2 linked regions of the Ovis aries genome follow. The protein of the gene in region 2 interacts with the protein of the main gene of each other region in a biochemical or structural test. Links are inferred from orthologs where the notes say so. Each region holds a gene or a part of one and is shown on either strand. Other genes may lie near its edges.

Region 1 (6,552 bases), on a different chromosome or scaffold from region 2:
TAACACAAGTCAGCCTGTCCTTTGAAGCTTTGAAGTCAAGCACTGACTTCCCTTCTCCAGCTATTAAAATCCTAGTTGGCATTTTCTGCCAATATAAGGCTGTTTCCTGGATATTGAAAATCTGCTTTTCAGTGTGACCTACCTTTAAGAATTATCTCAGCTAGATCTTCTAGATATCTGGCTATTTCACTTTGCACTTTGCCGTTAAAGAGAGAACTGCTTTCCTTAAAACTCATGAACCAAGCTCTGCTAGCTTTAAACATTTCCTCTGCAGCTTCCTCCATTCTCTCAGCCTTCAGAGAACTGAAGAGTGAGAGCCTTGCTCTGGGTCGGCTTTGGCTTCAGGGAGTGTGGGCCTGGTCTGATCTCTCCAGACCACTAAGACTCTATTAGCAATACAGCTGCTTCCCTTTCTTATCATCTGTATGTTCACTGCAGCAGCACTCTTTTCTTCAACAACTTTATCTTTGCCCTCACACCTTGGCTAGCTGGAGCAAGAGGCCTAGTTTTCGGCCTATCCTGGATTTCAACGTACTCTCCTCACTGAGCTTAATCATTTCTAACTTGTGATTTAAAGTGAGAGACAGGCAACTATTCTTTCACTTGAACACTTAAAAGAGATCATTACAGGGTTATTAAACGGCCTAATTTCAAGTGTCTTAGGGAATAGCGAGGCCCTGAGGAGAAAAGAAAGAAATGGCAACAGCAGTTGAGTGGGGCAGTCAGAAAACACACATTGATCAGTTAAGTTTGCTCTCTTTGTGGGCACAGTTCATGGTGTCCCAAAACAACTGTAATAGTAGTAAATCACATATCACTGTAACAAATACAGTAATAATGAGAAAGTTTGAAATACGGAAAGGAAAAAAAAAAGGAAATACGGAAAGAATTACTAAGATGTGACACAGAGACATACATGTGAGCAAATGTTTTTAGAAAAACAGCACCTACAGACTTGGTGCAGGGTTGCCACAAACCCTCAATTAAAAAAAAAAATCATTATCTACAGAGCTCAATAAAGTGAAACACAATAGAATCAAGGCATGCCTGTATTATGAGAATGATGATAAACCTGTTGGTTTTGCAAAAATAAGATTTAATATACTGAACACTTTAATACAGAACAAACAAAAATATGAAGCGTCAAAATCTGGCAAATAATCAATTTTGTAATGATTCAAGGTTTTTACTACAAATATGAAACATTCTGAGAATATACCATCATATATGGTACCATTAGGGGAAAGCAACAAGCATTTTTAAAAGAGATGGAAGAGTTAACACTATTTGCTGGTTGGTATTTCAGTAACAATCTATTCATATTAACGTAATAAAAAAAACAGGTGAGTAAACAATGTCTTTGGTGTTATTAACAATGAGTGATAAAATTTAAAGATTTTTAAAAATTTTTATGTTCTTTATGTTTAGCCATATTTTCCAAGTCTCCTACAAAAAGAAAGTTTCTTTTATAATCAGATAAAAATCCAACTGCATTTTTTTAATTTAAGAAATAACCTGTAGTAACTCATTTAGCAAACAGAAGTTGCTTCCAAGCTTTTTGGTATCATCACTGTATCATTTTTTCATGAAATCTGTAATCCTCCCACTCCTTCCAGCCTTTTTTCAAGTTAAGTTTACATTAATTTGAAAATTTCAGAAGACTTCTAATTTGGAATTTTGCAAAATTAGGCATGAGAAGTATTAAAAGTCACTTTCATAACTAACAGTGTCATAAAACAAATGCAAAGTGACACTTTGCCAATCATGTAAATAATTCATCTTATAAACGGAGTGACAAAAATTCAGTTTTCTCAACACTGGATACAAGGTGAAGTGAAAGTTGCTCAGTTGTGTCCAACTCTTTGTGACTCCATGGACTACAGTCCGCCAGGCTCCTCTGTCCATGGAATTCTCCAGGCAAGAATACTGGAGTGGTTAGCAATTTCCTTCTCCAGGGGATCTTGCCCACTCAGGGATCACACCCAGCTCTCCTGCACTGCAGGCAGATTTTTTTACCACCTGAGCCACCAGGAAGACACAGCGTAGCCACTTATAAATATCTAATTTAAACATGAAGTCTGAACGTAATCACGAAGTCCAACAGGACTGAGTTTGAATCTTGCCTCTGACATCGGTCACCTGTTATGACGCTGGCGAAGTTACTTAATCATACTAACCCTCAGTCTCCTCATCTATGAAAAGAGAGTGCTACCTACCGGTAAGTGTTTGTGTGTAAAATGTGAGTTGTGTGTAAAATGTTTAGTGAAGGACATGCCATACATCAATCCTTCAGTAAATGTTAGTTATTTCAATAGAGAATAGTGTTCGAGTTAGTACATAAACATCATTTATACCTCATCCTGATTATAATTTTACAAAGAAAAAAAAAAAACACAGTGCACTAAGAAGCACACTGAAAATATGTCTTCCACAATTCCACACAGACTGAGATTCTGCAATTCCTGAATCACCACTATCATATGGTAAGTGTATGCAGGTACTAAGTGCATAAGCCCAAAGAATGAGAACTTAATAAAAGACGCCGGTATATATCAAGTGATAAATCAATAAACACATGTATTACTAGGTTCAGTCATTAAAATTTGAACCCAAAAGGATGTATGGATGTAGACCGAAATTTACACACTAGGACCACCTGTCCAAAAAAAGTCATTCTTAATTTCAGCAGTTTCACTTGACTGTTTCCAAAGGAGTCTCCTGTGGCAATGACCTTTCAGTCACAGTACATAATAGAAACATCCAAAACACAATGAAAGGAAAATTATTTGTAATTAGAATACCAAATTTTTCTTAATCGGGTGTGAAACCTGGACAAACTTTAACTAAAATAACTACCAATAACTTCCACATCTATAAAAGATAATAATACCTACCTACTCCACAGGGCTCTTAGTAAGATCAAATGTGAAGGCATGTAACTATGCTTTGTAAACTGTCAAGTATAACATGCAAATATCATTACGGCTGAGGTTCTTTTATTATCCAAGGAAAGACTTCTTTAAAAAAATGATACACTGATCCCCTCCACTCATTAAATATATGGACAATATCATATTTTCTACCACTAATTATTGCATACCAGAACAGTCCTCAACGATCTTCATCTAAAATCACCAAGAGTCACAATTTGAAAGGCTGAAAGACGCTTATCACATCCCCACATAAGACCTCAAGCATAAACGTATCTCCACTGATAATCGAAACAAGAAACAAATTAGTAAATTCATCTATACACTTACCCAATATTCGATAGACTCTAGGAAGATAAAATTGCTTAGAAACAACCTAACTACCTCCACTGAATAAAGCAAACGCATGTCAATAGCCACAGATGTTCAGTTGTGTCTTCACCTCTGTATTCTGCTTACGAGTCAGCTGGTGTCAAAGCACACGCACCCACCAGGCACGCGCACACACACACACGCGCACACACACACACGCGCACACACACACACACACTCTGCTTATCGGTGTCAGGGGCTGAGCACAAAATAAACTGCACCCAAACAAAAGGAGTCTCTTCAGAGCCTTCCTGCTTCGAATAACCTCGCTAGGCCTGCTCCTTCCTCGTCTGTAAACAAATTACCGGTGGGGGGCACGCGAGCAAGAGGGCGAGGGCCTCAAATAGGGGTCATTTGGCCGTCACCTGGCGAGGTGTTTTTCGCGAAGTTTCAGAGTCAACAAAGAAGTTTCATGGCGAAGGGGTCGGGCCGCTGGAACGGCCGGGCGAAGCAACGTTAAAAGACGGACAAAACCGAGTGTGGCAGGGTGGGGGGAAGAAGGACGTAGAAAACGCCCCCTCAGACTTCCAGCCGCGACGACGGCGCCGTCGCCCCCCGGGGCTGGCGGGACGGAGTGGGGGCGGTCGGGGAGCCACGCCGGCCACCGCAGCCCGACGCCCCCGGCCCACGACCGGCGCGGGCGCGCGGGGAACGGCTGGAGGCGCCGACGGGTCCCCCGCAGGCTCCCCGCCGCCCCTCGCGCCCCGCTGCTCCGCGGGGCAAACGGCCCGGGTGCCGGCCCCGCCACGGTCCCGCCCGCTCGCGACGCTGTCACCGCGAGCCCCTGACCCGAGCGGAGGCGCCCGCCGCCCACTCCGCCACCTCACGCGCCGCCCGGGCCCCGCCGCCCTCCTCGAGCGCCGCACGGAACCGGCACGGGCCCGACCGGAACGCGGGCGCCGCAAGCACAGGGCGCGGGCGCCGCCGACTTACCTTCCTCCGCGGTGTCCATCTTGTCTGGGGGGGCGGCGGTGACGCAGCCGCTAGGCTCCAGCGGCCGCGACCGGAGCCTTCCGGCCGGGGCGGGGAAGGGGGAGGGAAGGGGAGGAAGGAGGAGGGAGCGGAGCCGGGCCCGGGCAGGTGCGTGTGCTCAGGTGCGAGAGAGGAAGAGAGAGAGGGGGGAGAGGGAGAGGGAGAGAGGCTGACAGAAAGCGGGCGAGAGAGGGGAGGGGGAGGGGCGGGGAGAGCGGAGGGGCGAGGCCTGGGCGGGGCGTGCGGGCGGAAGGGGCGGGGCGCCTCCGCGACGTGTGTTGTCACTTCCGGCAGCGCCGCTGTGCGCATGCTCAGTGGGCGGCGGCCGTGGGGGCGTTGCGGGACGTTCCTTCCCCAGCCCCCAACTCCCTCCACAGGCCGTCGGGTGGCCACTGTCGTGGGCCGCGGGCCACCTGGGCTTTGTCCAGAGGGCTGCGCGGTCGGAGAGGCTGAAACCTTAGAAGGAGCTGAACTCTAATGACACCGAGGTGGGGACGGGGGGGCGGCGACAGAGAAAGCACGGAGCCAAGGGACGAGGGCAGCGGGAGCGAGCCCTGCACCCGCCGCAGCACCGCGGTGCACCACACAGGCGGGCCCCGGGGCTGAAGAGCTACCTGGGCGCCTGTGAAAAGACTAGTCCTGCGCCCGGCTCCACTCCCCTCTTCCTGCCCGAGACTCCGGTGTCGCGTGTCTGGAGTCGGTCCAGGAATAGGCACTTTTGTTCCGCACCTGTGGGCAGTTCTGATGCACGTTTTGAAGAAGTGCTAAAATCATTAGTATGAGAAAGGCAAGTCCTAACTTTAGCGAGATCCCTCCCCCAGGAGACTTCTTCATTTGACTGAAAGGACCGCTTCAATAAACTACTTAGGCTGGAGGCTGTAACATCCGCCTCTAAGGGAAATTGGTTCAAACTGTGAAGTGAGAATTTGTTATTAAGGGGGCTTCCATGGTGGGTCAGATGGTAAAGCGTCTGCCTGCAATTCGGGAGACATGGGTTTGATCCCTGAGTCGGGAATATCCCCAGCAGAAGGAAATGGCAACCCACTCCAATACTCTTGCCTGGAAAATTACATGGACAGAGGAGTCTGGTGGGCTACAGTCTATGGGGTCTCAAAGAGTCGGACACGACTGAGCGACTTCACTCACTTTGTTATTAAGTGTCACAGCCATCAGCGATTTATGGCCTCTAAATATGAATCCCAAACTGCAATCCACTGGATGTTGCTACCCCAACCCCGCCCTCGATTGCTCAGGAGCTGGGGGAAATGCAAGGTGAACAAGGAAACGGAGTTGACACCCCGCCCCCCATAGCTGAGGTGCGTGTGAAAGGAATGAGCTCAGTGCGACCAGAGGGTTGCATCTTCCCATACCTGGAATGCTAAATTCCTTAACCTGATAACCTAATCTTTGATCAGACAGCTGCTCCCTTGGTTGCAAACTTGTATATAGCCTGACTTTCCCACCTGCCTCCTTGGAGCAGTTTTCTCAAAGCTACTGAGATGCCTTCTCCCTGGCTCCGAGTCCTAAGCATTCCCACCAGGTAACTATTTTAAGGTTGTGATTACATCGTTTTAGTCGACAAGTTGTGCACAGGGCTTGATATATTGAGCTGTGGATGTTTACCTGGCCAGAGGTGAATTGCTTCTGCCTGATGAAAGACAGCCCTGCCTGGATCAGCACACAGCTTTCCTCACTGTAATTCCTGCTTTTTACTCTAAAGGAAGAACTGTCACACAACATTGTAAATAAACCATACTCCAATTTAAAAGGAAAAAAAAAAATCTATTTAGAAAATACAAGTTATGTCACCATCTTTGAATTGCCTGAGTAGAACTAGAGATATTGGTAATCCCAAGAAAATATATTTTAAAGACTATGTAAATGAATTGCAAAGATAAATTAAGAATGCTAGCAAGACTTTTTCTGTCTGTGAGAGAGAAGGAATTGGGAAGATCCCTGCTTCCTGCAAGCCTCATCAATCAGGAGACTTAGATTAAAGATAATGGAGACCTTCCAGAAAAACAGAAGCCTTTGAAGACCAATGCCATTGATTTTTCCAGTCACTCCTGTTGCCCAAGGTGGGAAAGAATTCAAATTCTTGATGCAATAATGGAGGCCCACTTTTCCTTAAATTTATTTGGACTGTATTGTCTCCCAAGAAATTGTATCTGAAGGAGGCTCATACCTCAGTCCCCACCCCTCCCACCCAACATGTGGAGCAGACACATCTCCTCTGTGGCCTGTGGCAGGGCACGTCTCACTCAGCTCGGACCAGGGG
Region 2 (5,900 bases):
TAGAAAGGTCCCCGGGCAGCCCCCAGGGAGTTAATGAGGGCTTGAGAGTTCTCTGGGCAGTGGTCAGGGCTCTGTTATCTCTAGGTGAGGGGCCCTCGGTGTAACTTTAGGGTCTTGCTTACTTGAAAAGCCCAGCCTCTCTGCAAGTACTGTTGGATGCCAGTGCCTAGAGCTAGCACTCTGTCATCTGCACACCTTAGCCGAGCCGACCTCTGTGCAGGTGCGGGAGTGGCACGTGCGGTGGCCCCCCGTCAGCTGCGGGCCTCCATCCAGCCTGTGAAGCAATCCCACTGGTGAAGGGAGAGACTTCCGTGGGAGTCCTGGGCACGGGGGTGTCACGTGCGCTCTGGTGGGTCAGACCAAGGTCTCTGGGCGGAGAGAAAGGAGCCGAGCAGGCAGTGCTGGATGAGGGGCGAGTCTGTGTCCACGTAGTACTGAAGGGACTCTTGCCGGGATGTTGGTTCAGGCTACTGGCCTTCAGACTGTCTGCCCTGAAATTTTGTATGTGGACTGTGCTTCTTGTTTTGTTTTTGAATGTCTCCTGTGACACTTGTCCTCTGTCTGTGGGGACTTGGCCTGATGGGACCTTGAGATGCACTTCGGGGTCTGTGGAGGCACCCGATATGCACCCTGTGTGCTTGGGGAAGACGGAGAAACTGACTCACCTGTCATCCTGAGGGCACTGCTGATTATGACTTCGAAAGCAAAAGGGAGAGGAAAGTTCATTTGTGAGGAGCCAGGCAGAATCTATTTTGTTTTGTGTGGCTGTCCTCTAACTTTCGTGAAGCGTTGAAGTTGGCCACTTAATTGAGTTCAAGCACAAGTGTGTTTGAATTATCCGGTGAATTGGTACGTGTGTGGCAGAATGTCAGACTTAAGGTGCACAGTTAAAGGAAACAAGTCCTGGGTGATGGTCTTGCTTTTGACTTGTCATGGTGTTTGTTACTAGATGTTGTCCATGGCAAACCACCTTGGCCCCCTTGCCGTCTCTGGCTGGAGCTTAGGGGTGGTGCCAGGGGAGCACTCCCCTCTCAGGCTAGACCCTAACCACCCGCAGTGGGCACCCCAGCCAGCAGTGTCTGCTGGGGCCTGGTGGCACCTGTGCGATATGCAGCTGGGTGGCAGGAAGGCCAGCAAAGGGCAGAATGTGGAGGCACTTGACCAGGGGAGTCAGGCACTGGGCTGGGCAGGGGTGTGGCCACGTGGTTGGGGCTCTGAGGAGGGGTTGGCTCAGGCTGTGGGAGTGTCGGGGCCTGTGGGAGTCCGAATCAGGGGATAGAGGGCGGCCTGGGGCTGAGGACTTGGCAGGTGGCAGAGGGGTTGGCATATATTTGTTCAGTTCTGGGTGAGTCCTGAAGGGTGTGATCTGAACTGTGCAATGAGAAGGGTCAGTTGACTTCAGAGAACAGGATGGACTGAAATGGGGGGAGACTGGAAGCCAGAGGCTGGTCGGACGTCTCATGATAGTTGATGGGCAGTGTAGTGGGCCCTGCATCGGGGGTGTGTGGTGGGATGGAGAGAGTGGGAGCATATGGGTATCTAAGGTTTAGAGACCCCAGAGCAGGAAGCAAGGCTGGGTATGTGGAGGGACTACTGCTGCACCCTGGGGGTGCAGAGTGAGACAGCAAGCCCTGGTCATCATCTGGCTGGGTGGGTGCTCTGAGGCGGATCCCATGGGCACAGGGCAGGAGTCCATAGCCTCTAATGAGGCACCGTGGGCAGAGACTGATGGGAGGAAAGGTGCAAGTGAGGTGAGGAGGGTCCGGCCTGGTGCAGGGAGCAGTGCCAAGTGGGTACTGGCTGGGAGGTCTGCGTGGAGGTTTGGCTGCTAATATCCTGTGCTGTGGTGGGACAGGTTGGGAACACAGGTTGGGCAGAGTGATTCCTCACTTGCTGCCCTGTCTAGTCAGCCTCCCCCCTCTTCTTTCCATCCTGTGCTGCATACGCTGTGTGTCCTCCATCTCCACCGTGTTTTACACCAGTGGCTTTCTTGCTTTATTTTTAGCAGCAAAACTTTTTTGCTTATGCACCTAATTTCCATCTATGAGATGCTCTAGTTTGTTAAGTAGATGGAGCTGGAGCTGTTCTGGTGCCCCTGAGAGTGGGGAGCCCGTCTTCCACTTCCCCATCCCGCCCTCCTACCTCTGGAGCAGAGCTGAGGTGTCCCAGGTCCCCTGATCCAGGCCAGGTCTCTTCTCTTGAATGATGGCTGCTCCCTGCCTCCCATCCTAGCCTTCAGTACTGTCCTGTGCCGTCCTGTCCCTCTTGTGCCATCTTGTCTGTCCTAGTCTGTCCCAGTCATCCTCTGCTGGGCCTCCAGAGTGCCCTTTCTAATGGAAGATCTGATTTGACTTAATACTTGGGCTTAAAAACTTTGTGGGGTGCCGCCTGACGGCCTGGCCTCGAGTCCCTGGTCGGCCTTGTCAGCTGCCATTCACAGTGCTTCGGCTCCTGCTGTGGCCCAGTGTTGTGCCCTGGACACAGCACACTTCCTTACCTTTGCCTGTCCAGCTGCTCCTGCTTCCTCTTCTGTCCTGGATGTGTGTCTGGGTCTCTCCGGGGTCCCCTCTCTCTCTCCAGTCCCAGAAAGAGGCTCTTCCTCTATTCCCTTGTTCTCCCACCCACCTGTGGCCAGTGGTAAACGTGCTGGAAAATGTTTAACAAGGAGTTCTGGGAGGGGCATGGCACCCAGTGCAGTGCTGGGGGAGACATGCACATGGCTGGTGGTTGGGGCTGGCTTTAGCTCGCCTCCACTCAAGACCGGCGAATTCAAGGGCTCTCTCCCTCTGAAGCTTCTTCAAGGACACAGGTGAGTCTGCAGGGTCTCTCTTAACCTTTGTATCTGACGAAAGTCACATTGGCGAAGGACCTGCTGGGACAGGCGGGAAAGGAGACTCTGCAAGGCTCATGAGTGTCTGAGAGGGTGGGCAAGTTGGAGCGGCCCAGGGGCCTTGATTCCGGGTGGCAGAGGTGTGGGCAATGGGGGTTGCCTTGCTCTGTCCCGTGTCAGTGTAGACTTGTCTCCACAGATGAGCAGCAACAGCGGTAAGAGAGCACCGACGACAGCGACCCAGCGCCTGAAGCAGGACTATCTCCGGATTAAGAAAGACCCCGTGCCTTACATCTGTGCCGAGCCCCTCCCTTCCAACATCCTTGAGTGGTAAGGCTCTGCCGCCTCCTTCCCTGCACCACCTGCCACCTGGCTTCTCCCTGATGGGCTTAGGGCCAGAGGGGCCTCTTAGCGTGGGAAGGGGGTTCCTGTACGCTTGTCAGGCATGAGTGGACCGTGAAGCCTGCAGATCCTCTCTGGTTGTCTTCACAATGGATAGCAACCCAGGATGTGGCAGGCTGTCTTTGAGCTCTGCACGCGGGCCAGAGAGAGGATCCTTCCTAGGGGTGACTTTGGGGCCTGCAGCCTCACGCCTGTTGGAGAAGCTCCTTGTCTTGACTCTCCTTCTCTGCTCTTTGCTTCTTGATGCTGTGAGGTAGCCTGTCCTACGTTGGCAAGTTTGTGATGGGGGATGATGGGTCCTGAACCCCGCTCTGTGCCTGTGGACGTGTGTTTCATGGGAACTTGCCACGCCACAGAAGGGCTGCCCTTATCAGGTGTGCTGGTGACTTTGTGAGAAACAGTGTAGGGCTGAAACATTAAGGAGCATTTTCTCTGTTTGGAGGGTATTTAATATTTTATGTTTTGATCTTAAATACCATAAAAAAAGTTTTAGATCTAGAAGAAAGAGATCTGAGTTAAAAGTCTTTTCCAGATTGGACAGGTGTTCAAGGATTTTGGATCCACATTCCTTGGCTTGCAGAGAAGGGTGAGCGCTGGCAGGTGGGCAGAAGGTCTCAGGGAGTCCAGCCTTGGTGTATAGGGGAGACATCAGTGTCACAACTCGCCCTGCCCTCAGGATGTAGCTAGCAAATGGACAGACGGGCTCTGTGGCAGTCTAGGGGACATCCTGGTCGTGCCGGGGCCCCTCCTGAGTGGGGGTCAGGTCCCAGGTCTACTGTTAACCAGGAAGGCCCACTGCAGAGGAAGAGGCGCAAGGCAGCGTCCATCGGAGGCCAGGCACAGGCTCCCCTCCTCGCCACGAGCTGCGACAAGCTGTATGCTGGCGGGTTGTCCTTAGGGAAGCTCCTTTGGGGCTGAGCACCAGAGACTTCGAGGGGAGTGGGTCACAGGAACCTCTGCCTGGAGCCCCCCCAGTATTCCAGACTCCCAGAAGGACAGCAGGCTTCCTTTCAGCACTGACCACATTTTTGCCCAAACAGTCGAGGTGCCGTTAAGGTTATGAGACCCCCTGGCATCCAGTTCCAGACACCGGCTGAGGACGGCCATGTTGGGCCTGCTGTGTGGGCTCTTCCCAGCCAGGGTGTCTGTCCCCGCCACTGGAGAAGAGAGTAGTCTTCTGGAGAGGTCTGTACTCTAGGCCTTCCTCACTCTGCTGCCCTGGGGCTGTCACGCACTCTCAGAGCACTGCTTGCCCGGCCCTTCCTGATGTCCTCAGATTGGACACACAGATTGGGAGCAGTGACAGATTAAGGCCACGTTCCCCAATTTAAGGCCACCTTTCCCAGTTTGTTCCTGGTCTGCTGACATAGGATGATGGTATCTTTTGGCTCTGACCTGTCAGCCAGTAGAGAGCAGGGGTTGTCAGTGTCCTGGTGGGAAGTAGTGTTTGGAGAGGTGATACTCATGTGTGCACAGTTGTGTCTGGTCTTGTGTTTCTGGTTAGTTCTGTATTCTTCTTCGTGCTTTTCTGTTTTCTTTGAAAATTTATAAGTTCAGGGCTTCTTTGGTGGTCCAGTGGTTAGGACTCAGCTCTCACTGCCAAGGGCCTTGATTCCATCCCTGGTCAGGGAACTAAGATCCCGTCAACCACACAGAGCAGCCAAAAACAAAAAAAAATCGAGCAGTTCCAATGTTTCTTGCCATAGAGATGAAGTGTTGTTTATTTGTGTGGAGAGCAGAGTCCATGGGGCTGTGGCCCTCCGTGTGAGGCCTTTGGTGACCACCACGAACTGTCCCTGTCCCTCCTGCTGGAAGACAGCTGCTCTCGAGGTCACATCTGAGTCTTCCAGGGTTGCAGGGCCAGGGCACAGTCTCTGCGGGTCTCCAGCTATTCCTGGTGAGCTACTGCATGATATTTGGGCACACTGAAAAGCATCAGATTTCAAGTACATCTCAACTATAAATTGTGAATTTTTGTTTTTTTGTTTGTTTTTTCCCTCCACACTGCATGACATGTGGGATCTTAGTTCCCTAACTAGGGATTGAAACCTGGACCCCCTACATTGGAAGTGCCGAGTCTTAACCTTTGGACCTCCAGGGAAGTCCTGTGAAGTGAATTTTTAAATTGTCAGTTGATGTTAATGGTCAAAGAGGGTTAGCTTTTTGCGTACTATGTTGTGGATTCAGAGGCACTTTGCAGAAAACTTGGAGGGCACGGCCTCTCTGATCCTGTTGGAGAGGCAGGGAGCTGTGTAGCTGGTCAAGTTTAGTCACCTGCTGAATGTCTATGAGTGTATTAGTTTCGGGTGGGCCCTAAAAACCCCAGCCTTGGAGTGATGCCATCCCCAAAGCCAACTCATTTTCTCTCCTCCCTCAGGCACTATGTGGTCCGAGGCCCTGAGATGACTCCCTATGAAGGTAAGTCTTTGCTCTGAGTTAGATGAACAAGAGGCAGCGTCTGTGTTCCAAAGAGACCTTACCCGAGAAACTCCGTCCGCTTGTCAGTAATGCTCTTTCTGGTTTGGACGTGCGGGAGGTAGACTGCGCACATTTGGAGCTTGTTCTGGTTTCCTCCAAGTCCTAGAGGTGTTTGCTCAGGGTTTGGTTTTGCTGATATGTCTCCAGCTTCAGGTTCAATCCCTGGGTTGGGAAGATCCCCTGGAGAAAG

Evidence for each region.
Region 1: the proteins of UBE2J2 (region 2) and MARCHF6 form a complex in vitro, tested with the Homo sapiens proteins (2 studies listed by BioGRID, with this or other methods). The link is inferred for Ovis aries from reciprocal best matches to the Homo sapiens genes UBE2J2 and MARCHF6.

The regions. Positions count from the first base shown.
Region 1 is NC_056069.1:62,994,510-63,001,061, forward strand, and holds the start of MARCHF6 (E3 ubiquitin-protein ligase MARCHF6), read right to left. Parts: upstream 4,262-6,552; 5' UTR 4,255-4,261; coding exon 4,236-4,254; intron 1-4,235. UniProt on the Homo sapiens protein: Endoplasmic reticulum membrane-associated E3 ubiquitin ligase that plays a critical role in mitigating endoplasmic reticulum stress, the regulation of cholesterol and lipid homeostasis, and ferroptosis.
Region 2 is NC_056065.1:50,560,456-50,566,355, forward strand, and holds part of UBE2J2 (ubiquitin-conjugating enzyme E2 J2), read left to right. Parts: exon of another isoform or gene 1-2,809; intron 2,810-3,029; coding exon 3,030-3,160; intron 3,161-5,609; coding exon 5,610-5,650; intron 5,651-5,900. UniProt on the Homo sapiens protein: Catalyzes the covalent attachment of ubiquitin to other proteins. Seems to function in the selective degradation of misfolded membrane proteins from the endoplasmic reticulum (ERAD).